7 linked regions of the Kluyveromyces lactis genome follow. The protein of the gene in region 1 binds, or shares a complex with, the protein of each later gene. Links are inferred from orthologs where the notes say so. Each region holds a gene or a part of one and is shown in the gene's direction. Other genes may lie near its edges.

The links.
Region 2: PRP31 (region 1) and SNU23 share a complex: the UniProt entries of both Saccharomyces cerevisiae proteins name them as parts of the U4/U6-U5 tri-snRNP complex. The link is inferred for Kluyveromyces lactis from reciprocal best matches to the Saccharomyces cerevisiae genes PRP31 and SNU23.
Region 3: PRP31 (region 1) and SMD1 share a complex: the UniProt entries of both Saccharomyces cerevisiae proteins name them as parts of the U4/U6-U5 tri-snRNP complex. The link is inferred for Kluyveromyces lactis from reciprocal best matches to the Saccharomyces cerevisiae genes PRP31 and SMD1.
Region 4: PRP31 (region 1) and SNU114 share a complex: the UniProt entries of both Saccharomyces cerevisiae proteins name them as parts of the U4/U6-U5 tri-snRNP complex. The link is inferred for Kluyveromyces lactis from reciprocal best matches to the Saccharomyces cerevisiae genes PRP31 and SNU114.
Region 5: PRP31 (region 1) and PRP4 share a complex: the UniProt entries of both Saccharomyces cerevisiae proteins name them as parts of the U4/U6-U5 tri-snRNP complex. The link is inferred for Kluyveromyces lactis from reciprocal best matches to the Saccharomyces cerevisiae genes PRP31 and PRP4.
Region 6: PRP31 (region 1) and SME1 share a complex: the UniProt entries of both Saccharomyces cerevisiae proteins name them as parts of the U4/U6-U5 tri-snRNP complex. The link is inferred for Kluyveromyces lactis from reciprocal best matches to the Saccharomyces cerevisiae genes PRP31 and SME1.
Region 7: PRP31 (region 1) and PRP8 share a complex: the UniProt entries of both Saccharomyces cerevisiae proteins name them as parts of the U4/U6-U5 tri-snRNP complex. The link is inferred for Kluyveromyces lactis from reciprocal best matches to the Saccharomyces cerevisiae genes PRP31 and PRP8.

What each region holds. Positions count from the first base shown.
Region 1 is NC_006040.1:1,253,026-1,256,284, forward strand, and holds PRP31 (U4/U6-U5 snRNP complex subunit PRP31), read left to right. Parts: upstream 1-1,355; coding exon 1,356-2,759; downstream 2,760-3,259. Other genes in the region: DNA-directed RNA polymerase core subunit RPC40, read right to left, coding at 1-1,002; KLLA0_D14905g (serine/threonine-protein kinase), read left to right, coding at 3,040-3,259. UniProt on the Saccharomyces cerevisiae protein: Promotes the association of the U4/U6.U5 tri-snRNP particle with pre-spliceosomes to form the mature spliceosomal complex.
Region 2 is NC_006041.1:139,236-141,565, forward strand, and holds SNU23 (U4/U6-U5 snRNP complex subunit SNU23), read left to right. Parts: upstream 1-1,269; coding exon 1,270-1,830; downstream 1,831-2,330. Other genes in the region: proteasome regulatory particle lid subunit RPN6, read left to right, coding at 1-239; TPP1 (polynucleotide 3'-phosphatase), read right to left, coding at 333-1,040; AIM36 (Aim36p), read right to left, coding at 2,021-2,330. UniProt on the Saccharomyces cerevisiae protein: Participates in pre-mRNA splicing. Part of the U4/U5/U6 tri-snRNP complex, one of the building blocks of the spliceosome.
Region 3 is NC_006040.1:320,348-322,641, forward strand, and holds SMD1 (mRNA splicing protein SMD1), read left to right. Parts: upstream 1-1,368; coding exon 1,369-1,794; downstream 1,795-2,294. Other genes in the region: KLLA0_D03740g (uncharacterized protein), read left to right, coding at 1-184; KLLA0_D03751g (uncharacterized protein), read right to left, coding at 174-737; U4/U6-U5 snRNP complex subunit PRP38, read right to left, coding at 1,942-2,294. UniProt on the Saccharomyces cerevisiae protein: lays a role in pre-mRNA splicing as a core component of the spliceosomal U1, U2, U4 and U5 small nuclear ribonucleoproteins (snRNPs), the building blocks of the spliceosome. Also binds telomerase RNA and is required for its accumulation.
Region 4 is NC_006037.1:603,631-607,810, forward strand, and holds the start of SNU114 (U5 snRNP GTPase SNU114), read left to right. Parts: upstream 1-1,380; coding exon 1,381-4,180. Other genes in the region: TPO5 (Tpo5p), read right to left, coding at 1-1,221. UniProt on the Saccharomyces cerevisiae protein: Component of the U5 snRNP complex required for pre-mRNA splicing. Binds GTP.
Region 5 is NC_006041.1:426,787-430,157, forward strand, and holds PRP4 (U4/U6-U5 snRNP complex subunit PRP4), read left to right. Parts: upstream 1-1,491; coding exon 1,492-2,871; downstream 2,872-3,371. Other genes in the region: DPB2 (DNA polymerase epsilon noncatalytic subunit), read left to right, coding at 1-232; Rab geranylgeranyltransferase BET2, read right to left, coding at 310-1,284; HDA3 (Hda3p), read right to left, coding at 2,928-3,371. UniProt on the Saccharomyces cerevisiae protein: Involved in RNA splicing. Is required for the association of U4/U6 snRNP with U5 snRNP in an early step of spliceosome assembly.
Region 6 is NC_006037.1:204,513-206,687, reverse strand, and holds SME1 (mRNA splicing protein SME1), read left to right. Parts: upstream 1-1,393; coding exon 1,394-1,675; downstream 1,676-2,175. Other genes in the region: mRNA transport regulator MTR10, read right to left, coding at 1-1,121; mitochondrial 37S ribosomal protein PET123, read right to left, coding at 1,956-2,175. UniProt on the Saccharomyces cerevisiae protein: Involved in pre-mRNA splicing. Binds and is required for the stability of snRNA U1, U2, U4 and U5 which contain a highly conserved structural motif called the Sm binding site. Involved in cap modification.
Region 7 is NC_006037.1:471,930-476,229, forward strand, and holds part of PRP8 (U4/U6-U5 snRNP complex subunit PRP8), read left to right. Parts: coding exon 1-4,300. UniProt on the Saccharomyces cerevisiae protein: Functions as a scaffold that mediates the ordered assembly of spliceosomal proteins and snRNAs. Required for association of BRR2 with the spliceosomal U5 snRNP, and the subsequent assembly of the U4/U6-U5 tri-snRNP complex.

The sequences.
Region 1 (3,259 bases):
TTGTGAGATTGGACAGTTCTTCAAGTATTCCGCCTTGTTCTTCAAGATCCTGACCGATTTGAAGAAGATTTCTTCCGGTGTCATAGCACCAGAACTCTCCACGTTAAAGATGAAGTGGTCTCTCACCCTACCCAACTTAACCTTCCCCTGGAACTCATCGTGTCTCAACACCTCTCTGGACACGGTATCCTTCCTTGGATCCTTGATATAAGCTTCACCCTTCTCGTTGACATCTGCGACACCTTTAGGGAAACATTTCACAAATTTCTTGGCATCATCACCGGTGATAGGCTGTGTGATCTGGATGTGTGGTAATAGTCTATAACTAGCTGTCGACACCGGAGAGAACTTGGCATGGTCTGCACCGATACCTAGAATACAATGTGCCCTTAACGAAATCTCTTGACCTGGTCTCAACTTGGCCAACAAGATATCTGGATCCGCTGCCACCACGGGACACTTGGCAAATTGTTCCACCTGTTTCCCCTGAGGCTCAAACTTAAGGTCCCTAGCATAGATATGCGCGTTTCTATAAAGAACCTTGGGGTCTTCACAATCCTTTGGAGCATCTGGGTTCCTGGTACATTTCACGTTCAACGACATCACTATCGTATTTTCATCTGTAAACCTTTCAGATTCGGGCAATGACGTGTCCACCCAACTCAACATATCTGGATCCACCTTCAATGGCACTAACCCGATTCTATGCGCCAACACTTCGTCCTGTAGCACAGACGTATTGTTAAAAAAGTAGACGTATTCTGGAGCGACAGATGGTACTTCTGAGATCATAATACGACGGAAAGCGTTAGCAATCGATGTGTCGACATGAACCAAATCGAAATTCACTTCACGCTCATCCAAACTCTCGATTTGTACGTCAAAAGTTTCCTTGAACTTCTCCAAGTCCCATGAATTGTCTTGATCCGAACTAAATCCAGGGAAATCTGTTGAACTTGTGTTCGTCACACGGTTATATTCAACACCAACGATATTGGACATCCTTTTTCAATTGTATTGCTACGTTTATGCTACCTCTTGAGCTCTCAAACGACCTCAGAAAAGCCCTATGACACTGGTCAAGGTCCGTCTCATCGGTGTAGATACCTCATCTCAAGCTCATCTCATCGCTTTAAAGAACTGAAAAATTTTTGGAAAAGAAAAGATCACATCGTATAGAGTGATTATATATGATTAAAGATTGGTAGAAATGCGATGAGATAGCTACTCGAGAGCAGGTACTAGTCGATTACTGCTCTTTTGACCATCCTCAGTTAGTTCAGTATGTGGTATTTTACAGTTGGATTGTAACTGGATAACCATATTCCCCTGTCTTACTCTTTCACAAGGTGATAATGGACCTTTTAGATGACGAAGATTATGGAAGTGTCAGCGATGAGGAAAGCTTGGATGATGGGTTAAGTGGTGTAACCAGTGGTATAACCAGTGGTATAGCCACAGAATCGGATATTTTACCCTCTCCTAGTGTTAGCAACCTAATATCTGACTTTCACGCGCAATTCTGGCACCAAGGCGCGGATTTAGATGACCTCATCCAACTTGCCAAGCACGAAACTATAATACGAGATGCAACAAACCATACGACAGAGCCTTACAATGTCATAAAACTGGGCCAATTGATGCCTTTATTCGATACAGAGCTTTCCATGGTGTTTCAATGCATTGTAGATACCTACAAGGCCAAGTTCCCTGGGTTGGAAACTATTGTCCCTGAAAGGAAACAATACGTCGACGTGGTCAAGATGCTGCAACAGGATATTCCCAACGTGCAATTAGACCAAGTGCTATCGAAGGAGGAAACCCTTGTGGTATCTATGTCTCTAAAGACAGATTTCAAAGAGGGTGCTCGAATTGATAAGGATCTCCTCTCCAAGGCCATCCATTGGTTCGATATTCTGTACAACTTACGGGACAACGTCTCACACTATGTTGAGACAAGAATACAAATGGTAGCTCCAAACTTATGTGCTTTATTGGGACCTGATACTGCAGCTAAACTGGTAACACATTGTGGTAGTGTTAAAGAACTAAGTGTGGTTCCCAGTTGTAATTTGGCATCCATTGGCCAGGACAAAACGTTGCATGGCAAATCGTTAGATATCTCTGGGGTACGACAAAAGGGATATCTATTCTATACAGACGTGGTACAAACACAGCCTCCTGAGTTCCAGAAACAGGCGCTTAGAATGGTCTCTGCCAAGGTTGCTCTTGCTGCGAGAGCGGATTGCACCATGGGGAATCAAGTCATTAACCCAGATGGGAATTCAGATGGGAACTCAGATGCCTCGAAGCTGGGCTTGAAATGGAGGCATGAAATCGTTGAAAAACTCAAGAAGATAATAGATCCGCCGAATATCAGTAACATCAAGCCGTTGCCGATCCCAGAAGACGCTCCAAAGAAGAAAAGAGCTGGTAGAAGGTTCCGTAAGTACAAAGAACAGTTCAAGATGTCGCATCTAAGGCAAATGCAAAACAGAATGGAGTTCGGTAAAGAGGAACAGACCACCATGGACCCATACGGAGAAGAAATAGGGTTCGGGATGGCCGATTCAAAGAACGTTTCCGCATTGTCCTCTTTCAATAAGACCAAAATGCGTAAATCTATGCGTTTAAGATTAGATCAAGAGACTAAAAACACGCACAGTTTCCTACAGGATGAGAGGTCCGAAAAGCTCAAACGTAGTGCAGAGCACCCACAAGCTACGGACCCCGCCACCAGCAAACAACCACGGTTGTGAGACACCATAGTTCTGCCGTGTACCTTTTATACCCTGTATATGTCTATTCATAGATCTGTAATTACGATTCCTATTATGGCAAAACCAAAACACAAAAAGATGATCCAATGTTCGAATTGAAAACTTTAAACAAAGAACACAACTTAACCATTGAACTTTAGGGTCTCTTATTCGATCAGATCTGCCGATAATTCATTGTGTCAAGTCAGAAGTAACGTGTCTGACCTGAAGCACTAACGGTTTTATTTACATACTTCAATCACACAGTTTAAAATAAGAAATGTTTACAAGAGATGCGAATGGTCGTCACAAGGAGGTCGACGCATTGGTCGACGATATGGTCAATTTCAGTTTTGATACGGATGCTAAAGTTATGCTAGATCCCCCAAGCACTCCAACGAGAATACGTGGTTCTCCGTCTCCTACTAGATCGATAGTAAAAAACCCTGAAAACTCGCTCATGGATATCGACGATGATACTCAGGGAGATTTGACGGCAG
Region 2 (2,330 bases), on another chromosome or scaffold:
GTGTTGAAGTATCGCATATCTCAAAGATTATCGGGCTTGATGCTCAACAAGTAGAGGGCAAACTTTCACAAATGATTTTAGACAAAGTTTTCTTTGGTGTGCTTGACCAAGGAAACGGATGGCTTTATATTTATGAGACACCACAACAGGATGCCACTTATGATTCTTCGTTAGAATTGATCAATCAACTCAATGGAGTTGTAGAACAACTCTTTGAAAAAGCCGCTGTATTATACTAAAATTAAAAATTCATTATAATACGCTCATCCTTCAATCATTAAAGTAACTTAGTAAATAAATATATTTTACGTAGGTTTAAGATCATTCGAAATTCAAATAAAGTATTCCTCCGGTACCTTGAAAGGTACGCCCAATATTTTAGCAAACTCTTTGTCACTGTCACTAAAATCATTTGGTCTTCCTGCAGCATCCCCGCAGTAAAATAAAAGTTCAATTGAGTCCGATTGTTCGTCAGAATCTTTAAGAAATTCATCAAACAAACCACGATTGGGTTTTCTCACATTATCAAACATTTCAGGTGTTACCATTGTCCCGTTTATTCTTTTCTTCTGGCCAGAAATAATGTTCTTAACAACTTTATTTGCGTGAGCAGTGCTGGCGGCTTTGCTGCCACCAAAAAGGGAAGCTGGTTTTTTAGTAGCACAGTAAATCCAAATACGATCACACAGTTGAGAATCGTTTTCCGATATGTATTTCAATACTTTGCAAATTTTATCAACGTGTTTTACGCAGCTTTTAGAGGTTCTAGGTTCACTAACAACACCGCCTTGGTTGGAGAAGAAGACGATGTGAAAATCTGGTGTTTCCTTCATTTGTGCCGAAAGTTTAGCAAGTACCTCGGTTTTTCCATATTTCATGAATATCCAATCATCTGATGTCCTACTGAATCGGCCTTTAACTGGTTTGATCACGGTGTGATCAAGGTCAAATGAGATGACCTTCCTTACAGGGGCGGGATCTTTGGGAACCCATTTTATGATATGAGGGAGAATGGTAAGCTTATGAGTAGACTGTGACATGATAGCAAACTGTTACAATTAATATGACAATGGCTGACTCCTTTGAAATACTCTTGTACTTTACTAATTTGTAGTTCCATTTATGCCTTCTTTTGAGATGAAATGACTTAAAAGATCCAATATGGAAAACATCAACTAATTTAATGTTGACATGCATAATAAGTTCCATGACCTAGGAAGAGATCAGGTACTGAGTTCTGAGAAGGAGTACTATTCACTATAAATCAATATGTCATTTGGACGAAGAACATGGAATAGAGAAGAGTATGCTGCCAAGGCAGCAACTTCTCCAGGAGGGCAATCTCATCTTTCATCATTAGACCAGGAACAACTGAAAGCTTTAAAAGATAGATACACAGACTACAATGCTTTACTCGAGTATAATCTACGCGACATCAATAAAAAGACGTTATCAGCCAATCTAAGTCAGCAGAAAAAAGGTAAACAGTTCGGGTTTTACTGTGACATATGTGACTTAACCTTCAAAGACACACTACAATTCATTAACCATTTGAATCACAAATCACATGTTGTACGGTTTGAGAACATATTCAACGAGCCATTGATAAAAGATACGAGGGATAATGATCTAGTACCACTTAATGAGGTACGATCCCAGTTTCATAAATCTGTATCAGCATTTATCGGGGACACTGAATTGAGATCCAATAAACGCAAAGCGGCAAAGAGAGTCAAATGTGAGAAATCTGATGCAGAAATCAAATATCAACCACAGTCTGAAATCGGCAGGTTAATGGGTTTCACAGAATTCGGAAGTTCCAAGAAATAACATAAATATTGACGTTTTTATTCGAAGCATATCTACATCCCACTATTCACAACGTACTTCTGCTGAATGGCAATTAGATACTGATGATATTTACAAAGTTTAATCGAGATAAAGTTGGATGGATTGTTATAGGAAGTCCCCAGATATATGCAAAAGGGTGCCGATGGGGAAAATGGCATGAGGGGTCATTTTAGATGGTCTCAACTTTATCCACGGTTTTAAAGTATTTGGAAACCTGGCCGTCTCCTTCTGAATTTGGTACAATAACTTTGTCGATAACGGAAACCTCATTTTCGAACTTGATCGCATCTTTTATATTGTCTGGGAAGTCAAGTAGATAAACAGTGTCACCCTTTTGACATTTCTCCTTCATATATTTACCTATCAAGACGACAGAGAGACCTGTTGGTAGTTTTTCCATGTACGATTTCCCCTCCTTTTCATATAAATCATTTAAAAGCACATAATATTTATCGTCAGACTTATTTCTGAAGAATTCA
Region 3 (2,294 bases), about 930 kb from region 1:
CTTGAAAAGCGAATTGGAACATTGGAATAAACTACCGATGAGTCCAATATCTTTGTCTTCAGAAAACGATCAAACTGAGGACGATAAAAACCGAATGATTCAAGAGAATTTGCGGAGAGAGATTCTTTCCTTGAAGAATGAAAGTAATATTTTATCAGAATGGATCAAGACCCTTATTTCTTGAATTTCTTCAAATAAATATTCTGAGCCGTACCCAGAATTGCGTATGCCAAACTAAAAAATACGGACCATTTATCTGGTGAAATGTATCTTTGAGCAATTGACATCAATACCGTTGATGTTGCCAAGCTGGAAGACAACATTGCCGCATATCTTGTCTTGATTGCGTGTATAATTTTTGTTTTGTCAACCTTACCGTTGTTAACAGAAGTCAAGGTAAATAGTAACCCTAACACTTGAATAGGCGATACCATGCCTAATGAGCAGCCTAACTGGACCAAGCTTCTATATTTGGATACCACTTTCCTAATTGTGTATTCGTTTATCCATTTGTAACTGAAATGATTAACTGGTGCGTTAAATAGACCACCATATAGACTCATCAATGCCACTTTGATCCAATTTAGCTTCTCTTTTCTTTCCTCTGGAGACAGACTAACCCATTGACTGAACAGTTCGCTTAACCCAGTTAATACCGCGCCTGTTATGCATTTAGTTAATAACGGGTTACGTTTGAGTAAAATATTATATCTCTTCAAGATTACTGATGACGACATGTTTACTCTTGGCGTTAATCTTTAATACTCCCAATCTCTCGATGCGAGCAGCAGTAACCTTGAAAGCTTGCGATCCATGAGATATGAAAAGAGTAATATCTGACTTTAACATCTATATATATATATATATATATATATCCAGATTTTATCAAAGCAATGACTGACAGAACGTTTTGTTATCGCTTGCATGGATAGTTTCTTATCGCACTTCTCCGTGTATCTGTTAACCATTTAACATGAGATGCAACGGATCTAAATACTTTTTGGGTTCCATGTAAGATTCGAACACATGCTCGCTCGAATGTAAGAAACCATTGGAATCTCACGCAAATGAGTTACCCTGTTAAGGCACGTGATAATATGAAATTTCCACTCTTTTCCAGGAAAGAACGACCCCATTGATTCTTGAGTATCAATTTGAACCATTTCATCCATCATTATGTAGAATATGTCAATTGAGTAACTACGATCAAATCCTGATCTTTTATCAAAATCAGGAAGTTGCTTGTGGATCATCTGTTACTTTTGCAAAATTCAAAACTCTTTTTCATCAAAACCATTTGAAACTGGTAACAGCTTTCTGGTGTATCTTTAGTCCGATTGAAACAACGAAGTTTTATATACAGACAAAATGCAGTTAACAGGGTTCTTAAAGAAACTAAAGAATGAAAGGGTGTCTATAGAGTTGAAGAATGGTACCACTGTTTGGGGAATAGTGAGGAGTGTGTCACCGCAGATGAACGTCTCTCTTACTGACGTCAGGCTGACACTCCCTACTAAGACCTCAGAAGCTACCTTGGCTGCCGTCTTATTGTCAGGTGGATCGACACAAGGACAAGAATCTAAGAGAACAACTAGCCTCGAGTTCATCAACATTAGGGGTAATACGATAAGGCAGATTATTTTACCAGATAGTATCAATTTGGATGCGTTGCTTGTAGACCAACAGGAAGTCAACAGGTTGAGGAAACAAGGTAAAGTGGGAAGTGATCCGAATAAGAAGAGATCACTTGAGAGTAACGGGAATGCTCCTAAACGTCCAAAGAGGGCATTTTAATATACATCAGAAAACATATGTGGAAATAAATATGTAGTGATGTTATGGACTTTGTTTTGATGAATGATTAAACACTATTGATAATTATCTTTCATAATGAATAGCCGTTCTTTCCAGTCGATGCCTCCAAAAAAAGAAAGAATGGAATCAAATTTGATCACTGTCATCTCTTGGATCAGAGCTGGAGTCCGAGTCGCTTGAGCTCTCATCGTCCTCTTCATCGTCCCATATTTTACACCAATTGCATTTTCCTAAGGGGATGCCCCAAATTTCATTCCTGTCGCATAACCAGTCTATCAACTCATCGAAATGTATCAATTTAATCTCTTTTTTAATCGATGATGACCAACAATCCATATCTAACGAGTAACTTTTTAATTTTCTATGATCAAGTATATATTTCTTCATTAAATCATGTAATAAATTGAACGATATATCTTGCTCGGAAGGATTACTCTCAGTTAAGAAATAATACGAGATTCTCATATAACATAATACCA
Region 4 (4,180 bases), on another chromosome or scaffold:
ACGGCTTAAACTGTACAGTGCTCTTGAAGATGTAGTCACCGAGCCAATACCTGAAAACAATAGGTTTCCCAAGATCAATAGAACAAGGAAGATGGAAACGAATAACGATTTAGTAGATTTTGTGAAGATAAGCACGATGGGCATGACACCTTCATGATTCATTACCTCAGAGACATCAGGTAGAATGAGCATCATTGGGATCAAGAAAAATAGTCCGGAAACTAGTGAGATTATCACAGAGCGTGTCATACTGTAAGGAATATCTTTCTCTGGTTTCTCAGTTTCGTCAGATAATGCCGATAACATCGCAAACCCTTGGAAAGTGAAATTAGATTGCTGAAACCCTCCAATTAAAAATGACAAGGCCATAGAACTATACCCCGACAAACTATTATCGAATTTGGTAAAGACATCCTTGAATGATCTATGGTTTGGTTGGAATAATAGGAGAAGTGTACTTGTGAATAATATCGCATATAAGATCCAGTAAACACAGACCTTATTGATAGTTTCAATGAAACTTGAAAATTTTAGATTAATGACTCCAACCACAGTCACAATGAGATAAAACATTAGCACAGTCCATAACGTCAACCACCGGGAGTCTATCAGAGATTCATTAGTCATTGTCAGCAAAGAAATAATCAATTGTGCACCCGCAAACGTAATACTAGTGCTCATCGTCCAACTTCCAAACAACATTAGCCAACCACAGTACCAAGACATACGCAACCGAAGTCTGCCAGGCGCAAGCATGGCCGCTGCACCGTGAAGTTCTATGGGGTACTTCGAGACTATCTCACTGAGCGACAGTGAACTAATCCACGTCATTATCCCACATATCAGATACCCAAATATTATCGATGGAGATCCACCATTTAGCAATCCAATACTCATAGTAGTGCTCATACCAAGTACGGGACTCATCAACCCAAACCCTAGACCAATAACAGAAGTCCGCGAAAGTAAATTCTTGTCAAGTTGCTGTACATATGTAAACTCTTTAACCTCATCGGGAATATCCTGGTCTTCCTCGTTCAATAAAGACAACAATCGCTCGGGAATGTGTATGTTCCCGTTAAGATTAGAAAGCCAGATGTATTCAGGCATTTCAAAATGCAGTTCGGCTCTGTGTGACCCCTTGGTAAGCTCACCCTTTTTATTTCCTAGAACCCTTTCGGCATCCGTCTTGGCAAAATGTCTGTCTTTTCGAGGGCTCATCGATATTTTCAGTTCTTAGACATTATGTAAATGTTGACGAAAGTCAAAGCTTCGAGTAATGAAGATAGAATGATAAGCACATGCATTGCTCTTAGGGAAGACTACTGCGATTTGGGTGACGTGACTCAGCACTGAGTACTTTTGGAAGGAAATACAATAATGGATGAAGATTTGTACGATGAGTTCGGTAATTTCATTGGGGATCCAATGCAATTAATCGATTCTGATGATGATAGTTTGGAAGAAGTAGGAGAGCAGGAAGCTCAACATGAATTACGGCAAAAGATAGTCGAGGCTGACTCTACCGATGTGGTACTTCGAGATGTGAACCGTGATTTCGATGATGATGTTGAAGTTTTGTTGGAAGTGGAAGATAGAGAACCTGAGAAACCATTGATTGGGGACGATTCGAAATCATATAGCGAAGCTGTTAACAGGAAAGTACCTAAAGCACTATTTGACAGAGGGTACTTGAAAAGCCTTTTCTCGATACCAGAACGTCAGTTAAATGTTGGAATTTTCGGGGCGCTACATTGTGGTAAGACTTCTTTCACGGATATGTTTGCGTTAGATACTCATCGCAATCTTCCGTCCTTGACAAAAAAAGTTAAGGAGGGATGGGTACCGTTTAGGTACCTCGACCAAGCGAGGATAGAAAAGGAACGTGGTATTTCGCTTAGATTGAATGGTATGTCGTTTGCATATGAATCGTCAAGAGGACGTACGTATGCAGTGACGATGTTGGACACACCTGGACATGTAAATTTTTGGGACGATGTCGGTATTGCTTTGACTGCTTGCCAATATGGTGTAATCATCGTTGATGTGATAGAAGGAATTACTTCTGTAGTTTCCAAACTGATAAGAGAATTGATAAGTAATGGGATCCCCTTTATCATCGTTCTTAACAAAATTGATAGATTAATTTTGGATTTGAGACTTCCTCCTACAGACGCATACAGCAAACTACAATATATCGTGAACGAAATAAACACATATACCAAAGAAAGATTCTCACCGGAGCTAGGTAATGTACTCTTTGCCAGTACCAAGTTTGGATTCTTATTCTCTGTGGAGTCTTTTGTGAACTCATTTTACGCTAAATCGTTAAAGGATAAGACAGAACAATTTGCTGCTCAACTTTGGGGTCAAATTAATTACAGAGAAGGAGCATTCTACCAAACAGAATTTATTACGGACAACATTGCATTCATTCAGTTTATTTTACAACCTTTATACAAGGTTTTCACTCATACATTATCTGCATCCGAGGAAGAACTAAGAACAGTCATCGAAACCAATTTTCAAATCAGGCTTTCAGATGAGATTCTATCAAAGGATCCTCAGCCGCTACTTTTTAGCGTGTTTCATGCTATACTACCGCACTATCACTGCTTCATCGATGCTATTGTTTCAACACAGGACCACAAAATCAACAACTTATCATCCGATGAAAGCACTGTTGTACATGTATTGAGACACATGAGCCTGGAAGGTTCCAAGTGGTCCCTTTGTCGGATAATAGAGGGCTCAGTGAAAAAAGGCAACAAACTCTATATTTTCAATGAGTCCGTAGACTCTGTAGTAGATTTTGGTGATGATGAATACTCCAAGGTTACTATTGAGCGTGTAGCCTTAATGGGAGGTAGGTATGTCTACGAACTCGAGGAAGCAATAAAAGGACAGATTGTACTTTTAAAAGGTTTTGAAGATCAGTATACGAAATATGCAACTTTGTCTTCGAGCTTGATGAACCCGCTAGCACCAATTAACTATCTCAACGAATCGGTGTTCAAATTCGCCATACAGCCTCAGAAACCAAGTGAACTACCGAGACTATTGAACGGTCTTCAACAAGCAAACGAATTGTACCCTGCATTAGTGGTTAGAGTTGAAGAAAGCGGCGAAAACATCATAATTGGAACAGGAGAACTTTACCTTGATTGCGTGATGGACGAATTACGGAAAAAATTCTGTGAAATTGAGATCAAAGTAAGCCAACCGCTTGTGCAATTCACGGAAAGTTGTCAGAACGAATCGTTCGCGTCAATTCCTGTAAAGTCAAACAACGGTGTAGTATCACTCAGCGTTATGGCCGAAAAATTAGATGGAAAGATAGTACACGATTTGACGCATGGTGAAATCGACAGTTCAGAATTGAATAACATGAGAAAGTTCTCCAAACGTCTAAGAACCGAGTATGGATGGGACTCATTGGCAGCTAGAAACTGCTGGGATTTATCAAAATGTAATGTATTCATTGACGATACTCTACCTGATGAAACGGATAAGCAACTACTCAAGAAATATAAAGAAAACATTTTACAAGGGTTTGAATGGGCTGTGAAAGAAGGACCATTGGCTGATGAAACAATCCATGCATGCCAATTTAAACTCTTGCAATTCAAGGTACAAGAAGACAGCATCGAAGATATCATCCCATCTCAACTAGTGCCAATGACGAGAAAGGCATGTTACATTGCGCTAATGTCTGCTACTCCAATTATCATGGAACCCATCTATGAAGTCGATATTATCGTATCGGGGGTATTGGAGTCTGTGATTCAGAATTTATTGAAGAGACGCAGAGGTGGAAGAATTTACAAGACAGAAAAGATAGTGGCATCACCATTCATAGAAATAAAGGCTCAATTACCTGTCATCGAGTCGATTGGATTTGAGACAGATCTTCGTGTTGCGACCGCCGGTAGCGGAATGTGTCAAATGCACTTTTGGAATAAAATATGGAGAAAAGTGCCAGGTGACGTACTTGACGAAGAAGCCTTCATACCGAAGTTGAAACCAGCGCCTGCTGCAAGCCTAAGCAGGGACTTTGTGATGAAGACAAGACGTCGCAAGGGTTTATCTGAAAGTGGTCACATGACTCAAGACGGGCCATCATTAAAGAAATACATTGATCAAGATCTATTCAAGAAGTTGCAACAAAAACGATTTGTAT
Region 5 (3,371 bases), on another chromosome or scaffold:
TCCGTTTTCATCAAGAATTCGACCAACTGTTTGGGATCTTGATTTCACATTGCAGCTATCACCGCTTCCATCGAGTATCATGCTGTGTGACACTAGCGCACCAGCTTTCGATGTAACGTACAACGGATGCAAAACGATCAACCCCGGTAGATTTATTCACAAAAGAGCTGCCAAATATATAGAATTCTTCCCTGCTTCTAAGGTTCTAGTAGAGGAAGAGCTACCATTTTAATTTATCAATATTAAACTACTTGTGGACCTACTTTTTGCGGTCGTTAGCATTCATAATTTATTTAAGTTTCTAAGACACTAATCTGAGTACTTGCGTTGGAAATATTTCGTCACCGTATATGGCATACAGTATACTGGATCAATATCTCTTAATCCTGGATACTTCATTATACTTAATCCTCCTAGACCAAAAACCGTGTGAAATACGTCGACTTCGTTGTCTGGTCTGTCACTAATCCCTCCATTTTTGGGATCCTGACAATGCAAAATGAACTCCGTTAGCTTGGGAAAATCAATCCAATCAGCTTTTTGGAGTATTGAAAGTGTTGATAATACCCACCAGCTATAGCATACATCGGGCAGTTTGCTTGGCCTACCATTTAAGCCCCCCTCTGGAACTTGTCTTTCTGAGAGCCAAACAGCAATATTCTCCTGCTGAGCTGGAGTTAAAGAGTCTAATTTTCCGACGATTGCTAAAGCAGCAATGCAAGTAAATGCCTGAGCAGCATGAGATTCTGCTTCAGGATTTAAGCCAAATCCGCCATCGAAATTGTAACATCTAAGGATATACGAAACTGCTGGTTCTACAACTTCTTTCGTCAATTTGTGTAAAATGGACAAACAGCTCAATGCAGTATATACGAAACGTGTGTCGACTTCACCAAAACTATCACCTTGGAATGAGCCGTCTGCTTTTTGATTGGATAGGATAAATTTTTCCAATTGTTCTTGCTTCTCTGAACCCAAGCGCTCTAAAGCGTTGTAAGTAGCCAAAATCTGAAGCCCTGAAAGAGTCGTTAATAGATGACCATCATGTCTTGGAAACGCAGCAAACCCACCAGTTTTATGATCCCAACAGCTTAGGACAAACTGTATTACATCCTCCTTATTGAATGTTTCGATAGAATCAAGGAGATAGAGGGCTGTCAATCCCCAGTATACCCCATTCAACCTTAGATGTTCTGAGAGCCAGTACTCTAGATCATCTTTCTTAGTATCTAAAGACGCAATATAATCAATGTGTTTATCTCTTAACAACTGCTGTTCACTCATGATCGTTCGATCGACGCCTAGCTTCAGACCCTTTTTACTCGATGGAGTACCTCACTTGTTTTCCAACTTTTGAACTATTCATATTCAGGAATAACGATAAAGTTCATTTTATGAATATGCTTTTAAAGAAGTGAGATGATAAAGAGATGAAATCAAAAAAGTGGCACCGGTAACAACTCACCTTTGGACTATCTGCAGTAACTTCTAATGGTAGAATTAGATGATTTGCAGGTAGATGTTGACTACAAAAACCAGGATGGGCAATCAGTCGGAGATGCTCTGAAAAGATTGGAATTCCAAAGGCAAGAAAGGCTCAAAATTGTGCCTACTCTAGATACAGACGTTAGACGAGCACTAGAGCTAGTGGGAGAGCCCGTTGATATCGCTGGCGAAGATAATTATTCTCGCAGAGATCGACTTTCTGATCTTATTCTTAGCGATCCAAAAGCCAGAGAACGAGTTACAAGGTTAGTAGAGTCAACTTCCAAAGACCAGACGAAAATCGATACTGAAAGAAGTAAAGTAGATGATGAAGACGAGGAGTTCTACACTCCAGCATCACAGCAGTTGATAGAAATGAGGAAGTTTCTTATAATATACTCTATGCAACGCTCTAAGCTGAGGCTTGAGGAGGAGAGACGAAGACTTGTCAGCCAAAATGTGAAAAACGTCATAAGTAAGCGAAGGGACCTGGAAAGTAAATTGAAACAGTTCTCTTTGAAGGGAATGCAGGTGATAGATGAGAAACCTATTTCTGAAATTAATACTTCTCCTGGTGGAGACCTGATGGCTTGTGGCAGTTGGTCCGGAAATTTGTCTCTGGTCGATAATTCGTTGTCCAAAATCTACTGCAATAGATCTTTATCTGGCACAAAGATTAGTGGATTGGATTGGAGCGTGGACTCTAAAAACATTTTTGTCTGTACCCATGATGGACGCATTGTAATATATGATAGTGGTGATGAAACCACAGTTAAGATCTTGTATAAAAATGATGCCAGGTTTGCCCAAGTACGATGCCATCCATGTAATAGTTTTATTGGAAGTACGTCTTTTGACAAAACATGGATCCTGATAGATACTGTGAAACAAGCCCCTATTTTGATTCAGGAAGGTCATTCTGCGGAGGTTTTCTCACTATCTTTTCACAATGATGGCTCATTGGTGAGTACAGCTGGTTTGGATGCAATTGCATTAATATGGGACATACGGTCCGGTAAAAATATCATGTCATTACAGGGACACTCAAAACCTATTTATTCCGTTGACTGGTCCCAAAATGGATATCAGCTTGCGTCTGGTAGTGGTGACGGGACTATAAAGGTTTGGGATATTAGGAAAAAGGGAAATGTGGAAACGATCTTAGCTCACAATAGCATTGTTTCACAAGTCAAATTCAATAAGCAAAACGGAGGATATTTAGTGTCGAGTGGATATGACAAGAAAGTAAATATCTTCAATGATGGGAACTGGATAAAGGAACGAAGCCTTGAAGGGCATCTTGATAAGGTTATGTCAATTGATATTGTAGGTCCTGATATATATAGCGCGGGTTGGGACCGCTCAGTTAACAAATGGGGAGTCTAATTAATTCTACGCAAATTTGTAAAAACGTTAATCATTATGGATGTTAAAATTACGTATCATTTCTTCGATCGGCCATTAGTCGCCTGTCTTCCTCTGCTGGGTTGAATTTTCGATAGTCTATCAGTTATATATCCAAGTTTAGAATGAAGCCCTCCAAGATTTTGCCCTTCCTGTTGTAGTTGTGATTTCAAGAGATCTATTCTCTGTTCAGCACTGGCAACCTTCTTTTTATTTTCGGCTACACTGTCCTCTATTTTCGTTTTCAAGAGCTTGATTTCTTCTCTTAATTTATCTTGTTCTTTGTTGCTTTCATCAACAGATTGAGCGGCTCTTTCTATCTCCTTTTGCATGTATGTTCTCTCAGAAGATTTAGACTCCGAATTTCGTTTTTCTCTCTCGCGGGCATCTTGCAAGTTTGAAATTTCTTCTAGTAAACCCTTCAAAACCTTATGTGGTTCGCTTTTAGACCCTAATTTTGTCATTAAATCATTAATTTCTGA
Region 6 (2,175 bases), on another chromosome or scaffold:
GTAATCAAACCATTCGTTAAATTAATAAATACATCCTGATATTCTTTTCTTTGTTGAGCGTAACGTTGTAAAACTAACATTTGCCTCAAATTAAACCAAAATGGGAAAGTATACGAAACGATATCGAGGTCAGTGTTCTTGCAAGTTAATACCAAGATGACTTCAACCAATGGTTTGAATAAGGCAGGATTCTTTGCAAGAAAAACACACCACGCTTCGCCAGCTTCAACGAATAAACGTGTGAGTGGATCCATAATCTCTTCGTATTCTTCCCAGTCAGAAATGGTTGTGATTGGCAATAGCTTTTGTTGCAAAGCTAAAAGTTGCTCGTAAAGCGCATGTATGATTGTATCGTTGGCTGCGTCTCTCGTTTCTCTTAATAACACACATAAGCATTCTACTGCAGCTTCAAAAGAATCAGAATCAGTATCATATGAAGTATGCAAGACTTGGAACACGGTGTTTATCAATGGAGTCACTTGTAATACCTGTTCTATTGGAAATTCATAACACCACGATCCAAAGCACGAAATGATTTTAGAAGCAGATATGCCTTCAGTTCCGACTCTATCCAAACATGAAATCAAAAATTTCAATACGTCTTCTCCAATGTTATCTATAAGTTCGTGTGTTCTACACTCAAATTCATCTTGGGATAGAGGAGTGGATTTGATATCCAATGTTTCCTCTGGGAGAATCTTCAAAAACAGTAGTAACTTTCCCGGAAGACCATTTAGAGTATTAATAATTTCAACTAGCGGATTCCTCCAATCAAGATACTGAATGGTAAATCGGGCTAGTGCCACGTTCAACTGTGTTACTATGATCTTCTCTTCATACATAGCGATGAACTCAAAGAGCTTTCCCTTGAAACTCTCTAATTCGGTATTGACCTGGTTTAGATCATAGGTGACTTTGTTCACTAGAGTTTGACAAGCAAACATTTGCAACTGTAAGTTGTCTGCTTCATGCTTGCTTAATACTTCGAAGCAGATTTGCCATGCTTCTATGCTCTTTTGAAATTGCTCCAAAAATTGTAAAGCTTGTATCTTCTTCTCCTGTTCAGAAACACTTTGAGTACAAATCAATGCACTCTTGATATCTGGGATTTGATACAACATCAATATTGATCAATCACGTCGTTCTTGCTCAACGGTATCTGCTGTGGCAGTTTTTATGAGTTCCTTTTATAGTGCATAAGTAAGATCAAATGTTTTGGTTGATTCAATATATAAAATTTTTTTAATATGTTAACAATAATCCTATTAAACTAATATCAAACGAATTCAACATGGCACTAGTGACTGACATTAATAAAGGATAACTGCGATCTGATTATAGTTACACTAACATCGACCTTCAATACACCGAAAGATTCTAGAAAAAGTCTAAAATGTCCGGCTCTAAAGTAGGAGCTCCTATGGTACCTCCAATCAATTGCATATACAACTACCTTCATCATCAGACAACAGTAACGTTTTGGTTATACGAACAAGTACAGACACGTATAAGAGGCAAGATCAGAGGCTTTGATGAGTTCATGAATGTGGTAATAGATGACGCTTTCGAAATAGCTGTAGATCCGAAAAGTGGTAAAGAGAGCGATGATAAAGCAGTGTTTCTTGGGAGAATTATGTTGAAAGGTGATAATATAACACTTGTTGTGGCAAATTGATAATGCCTACTCAGAAAATGATAATAGGATGAAAGAAAGATGCTTAGAGTGTAGAAGCATTGATCGGACTCTGTCGTGTAATTATATAAGCCTGTATATTATAACGGAAAAATGAAAGGCACTGAAATTTCGATAACGGCGACAAGCACTATCAAGGCTAATAAAGATATATTGTTCGTAATCTTATGGATCTATTTACAATGTGTTGCTCAGATTGGGGAGAATACCTTAAGTTCATATGGTTTCTTTTGTGTCAGTGATATTATCTAAAAGATATATCTCAAAGGACAGAGTCTTTACGTTCTTCCGCTTGTTTAGTTAATTCATCCAATTTGGTATTAATTTCCTGGTTAAATTGTTCCATCTCACCAGATAAAAATTCCTTCACAATTGGCAAACCTACGTATTTGCCGTTGCCCAAAGTACCAAATAATGCATCCGAAATTTCACCTTCGTTTCTTGCTGTTTGTTGAGAAGTCGACAAAGACAACTTATTTCTT
Region 7 (4,300 bases), on another chromosome or scaffold:
AACGTGAAGAGTTAGCTTTAATTGAAGAGGCATATGACAATCCTCATGATACCTTGAATAGAATTAAAAAACTATTGCTAACCCAAAGATTATTCAAGCCAATACAACTAACAATGATGGATCATTATCAACACATATCTCCAGTCTATAACGTTGATCCGTTGGAGAAAATTACCGATGCATATCTTGACCAGTATCTATGGTATGAAGCTGACAGAAGGCAGCTTTTCCCTAGTTGGATAAAGCCAGGTGACTCAGAAATCCCGCCACTTCTTGTTTACAAATGGTGTCAAGGCATTAACAACTTAGATTCTGTATGGGACATCAGCAAAGGGCAATCGACCGTATTGTTGCAAACTGATTTACAAGAATTCGTTGAAAAGATGGATTTGACACTAATAAACAGGCTCCTAAGGTTAATTATCGATCCGACATTAGCGGATTACATTACTGCAAAGAATAATGTCAGTTTGATCTTTAAGGATATGAATCATGTTAACAAATATGGTCTAATAAGGGGATTACAATTTGCACCATTTGTTTATCAATTTTATGGTTTAATGATTGATATTCTCATCTTGGGACATGAAAGGGCACAGGAACTAGCAGGCCCTCCAAACGAACCATCTGAATTCTTGCAATTTCCAGATAAAGCTACTGAAACGAAGAGCCCAATTCGCCTCTACTCACGCTATCTTGACAAAATCCATATTTTATTCCACTTTGAAGAATCTGAGTCTGATGAGCTTATCCAAGACTATTTGATGGAAAACCCCGATCCAAATTTTGAAAATTCTGTTGGTTATAACAACAAGAAATGCTGGCCTAGAGACGCCCGCATGAGGTTAATCAGACACGATGTTAATCTAGGTCGTGCTGTTTTCTGGGAACTTACATCTAGGGTACCAAAATCACTTGTTAACATAACGTGGGAGAATACTCTTTCTTCAGTTTATAGCAAGAATAATCCTAATTTACTTTTCACTATGTGCGGTTTTGAGGTGAGAATACTACCGAAATCTCGGATGGAAGATGTCATTTCTCATGATGAGGGTGTATGGGATTTGGTGTTGGACTCCACAAAAGAACGGACTGCCAAAGCGTTTTTACAGGTATCACAAGAAGCTATTGATGAGTTTAGAGGTCGTATTCAAAGTATTTTGATGGGTTCCGGCTCCACAACTTTTACAAAAATTGTGGGCAAATGGAATACTGCACTAATCGCTTTGTTTACCTATTTTAGAGAATCTATCGTCACGACAGAACCGTTACTCGACTTACTCGTGAAATCTGAGACTAGAGTTCAAAATAGAGTAAAACTCGGCTTAAATTCTAAAATGCCAACAAGGTTCCCTCCAGCAGTGTTTTATACACCTAAAGAGTTAGGTGGTTTGGGAATGCTCAGCGCATCGCACATTTTAATTCCCGCTTCTGACTTGAGGTGGTCAAAACACACAGATACTGGAATAACACATTTCAGGGCAGGGATGTCCCACGAAGATGAGAAGATGATACCAACAATTTTCCGATACATTACTACCTGGGAGAACGAATTTTTGGACTCACAGAGAGTATGGGCGGATTATGCTGCTAAAAGACAAGAAGCCATAAAACAAAATCGTAGGTTGGCATTTGAAGAATTAGAGGGTTCTTGGGATAGAGGTATACCGCGGATCAGTACCATATTCCAAAAAGATAGGCATACGCTAGCCTATGATAAGGGTCACAGGATTAGGCGACAATTCAAAGAGTATTCAGTGGAACGTAGTAATGCTTTCTGGTGGACAAATAATCGTCATGATGGTAAATTATGGAACTTGAATGCCTATCGTACGGATGTCATTCAGGCCTTAGGGGGTATCGAAACAATTCTTGAGCACACATTATTTAAAGGAACTGGCTTTAAATCATGGGAAGGACTTTTCTGGGAGAAAGCCTCTGGTTTTGAAGATTCAATGCAGTTCAAGAAACTTACTCATGCACAAAGAACTGGTTTGAGTCAGATCCCTAATCGTAGGTTTACGTTATGGTGGTCTCCGACGATTAATAGAGCGAACGTCTACGTTGGGTTTTTGGTGCAATTGGATTTAACAGGAATATTCTTGCACGGTAAAATTCCAACATTGAAGATATCTTTAATTCAAATTTTCCGAGCACATCTATGGCAAAAAATCCACGAAAGTGTGGTTTTCGACATCTGTCAAATTCTGGACGGCCAAATGGATATACTACAGATTGAATCTGTTCAAAAAGAATCAATTCATCCACGTAAGTCGTATAAGATGAATTCGTCTGCTGCTGACATCACATTGAACAGTATTTACAAATGGAAGGTTAGCAGACCAACATTGTTGCATCAGACGAAAGATTCTTTCGACGCTACCACAACTGACAAAATGTGGATCGATGTGCAGCTTAGATATGGTGACTATGATTCTCATGATATATCAAGATATGTCCGTGCGAAATTTTTAGATTACACCACAGATAACGTGAGCTTGTACCCGTCTCCTACTGGTATTATGATCGGTATTGACTTGGCCTATAATATTTACGACTCCTATGGAACGTGGTTTGAGGGATTGAAGCCCTTGATACACAACGGTATGAAAACAATAATGAAAGCTAATCCAGCACTTTACGTTTTGAGGGAGCGTATCAGGAAAGGTCTTCAGATATATCAATCTCAAGTTCAAGAGCCATTTTTGAACTCATCCAACTACGCAGAGCTATTTTCCAATGACACAAAATTCTTTATCGATGATACGAATGTTTACCGGGTCACTGTTCATAGAACTTATGAAGGCAATGTGGCTACTAAGCCTATCAACGGATGCGTGTTTACTTTAAATCCGAAAACAGGTGAACTATATTTGAAAATAATTCACACTTCGGTGTGGGCGGGGCAGAGCAGATTGGCTCAATTGGCAAAATGGAAAACCGCAGAAGAAGTAAGTGCATTGGTTAGATCGTTACCCAAAGAAGAACAACCTAAACAAATTATAGTTACTAGAAAAGCTATGATGGACCCTATGGAAGTACACATGTTAGATTTCCCAAACATTTCGATTCGTCCAACTGAGCTCAGATTACCTTTTTCTTCTGTTTTGAACATAGAAAAATTAAATGATGTTGTTTTAAGCGCTACAGAACCGCAGATGGTTTTGTTCAACATTTATGATGACTGGCTAACTCGAGTTTCTGCCTACACTGCTTTCTCTAGATTGATATTGCTATTAAGAGCGCTCAAAACCAATGAAGAAAAAGCCAAAATGATTCTATTAGAGGATCCTACAATCCCAACGAGAGCTAATCATCTATGGCCTTCTTTTACTGATGATCAGTGGATTGAAATTGAGACGAAGATGCGTGATCTAATTCTCTTAGAGTATGGTCAAAAATACAATGTAAACATTGCTTCTTTGACTCAAACTGAAATCAAGAATTTGATTTTAGGACAGAACATTAGAGCTCCATCTGTTCAGAGGCAGAAGATGGCAGAATTGGAGGCTGCAAGAAATCAGAAAACTGATGAGTCGTCGCAGTCTGCCACGGCAGCCATGAAGCTAAAAACAATCAATGCTCAAGGTGAAGAAATTACAGTGGTGTCATCCAGCAATTATGAGTCCCAATCTTTCAGTTCGAAAAATGCTTGGCGGTCAAATGCAATCTCCAATTCATTGCTACATTTGAAGCTTAAGAACATATATGTTACTGCCGAAGATTTTGTAGAAGATAAAGATGTCCTCGTATTCCCACGGAACTTGTTGAAGAAGTTTGTCACAATAGCTGATGTCGATGTCCAAATTGCAGGGTATATGTACGGGTCACCTGTAAAAGATCACCCTAATGTGAAGGAAATTAAGACGATAGCACTTGTCCCTCAACTCGGCAGTTCCGCAACTGTTCGCATATCTCCTCCCCCCTCATCTTCCAAATATCTCAACGACATGGAACTGTTGGGATGGATACATACCCAAAAAGTCGATTCCAAATTCATGTCACCATCTGAAGTGATCACTCATTCCAAAATGTTTTCAGATCATAACGAAAGTGCTGTTGATTTGTGCATAAATCTAATCCCAGGTGCCGTATCAATTACAGGATATACGTTAAGCACTACGGGTTTCAACTGGGGCTTACAATCGAAAGACATAACGGACCCTTCACCAGAAGGGTTTGAAGCTTCATTTAGCGAGACTGCACAGATTTTATTATCTGAACGCATTATGGGCAATTTCTTGGTACCTTCGTCATCGATATGGAATTACGCTTTCATGGGAACTGCTTTTAGCGAAGA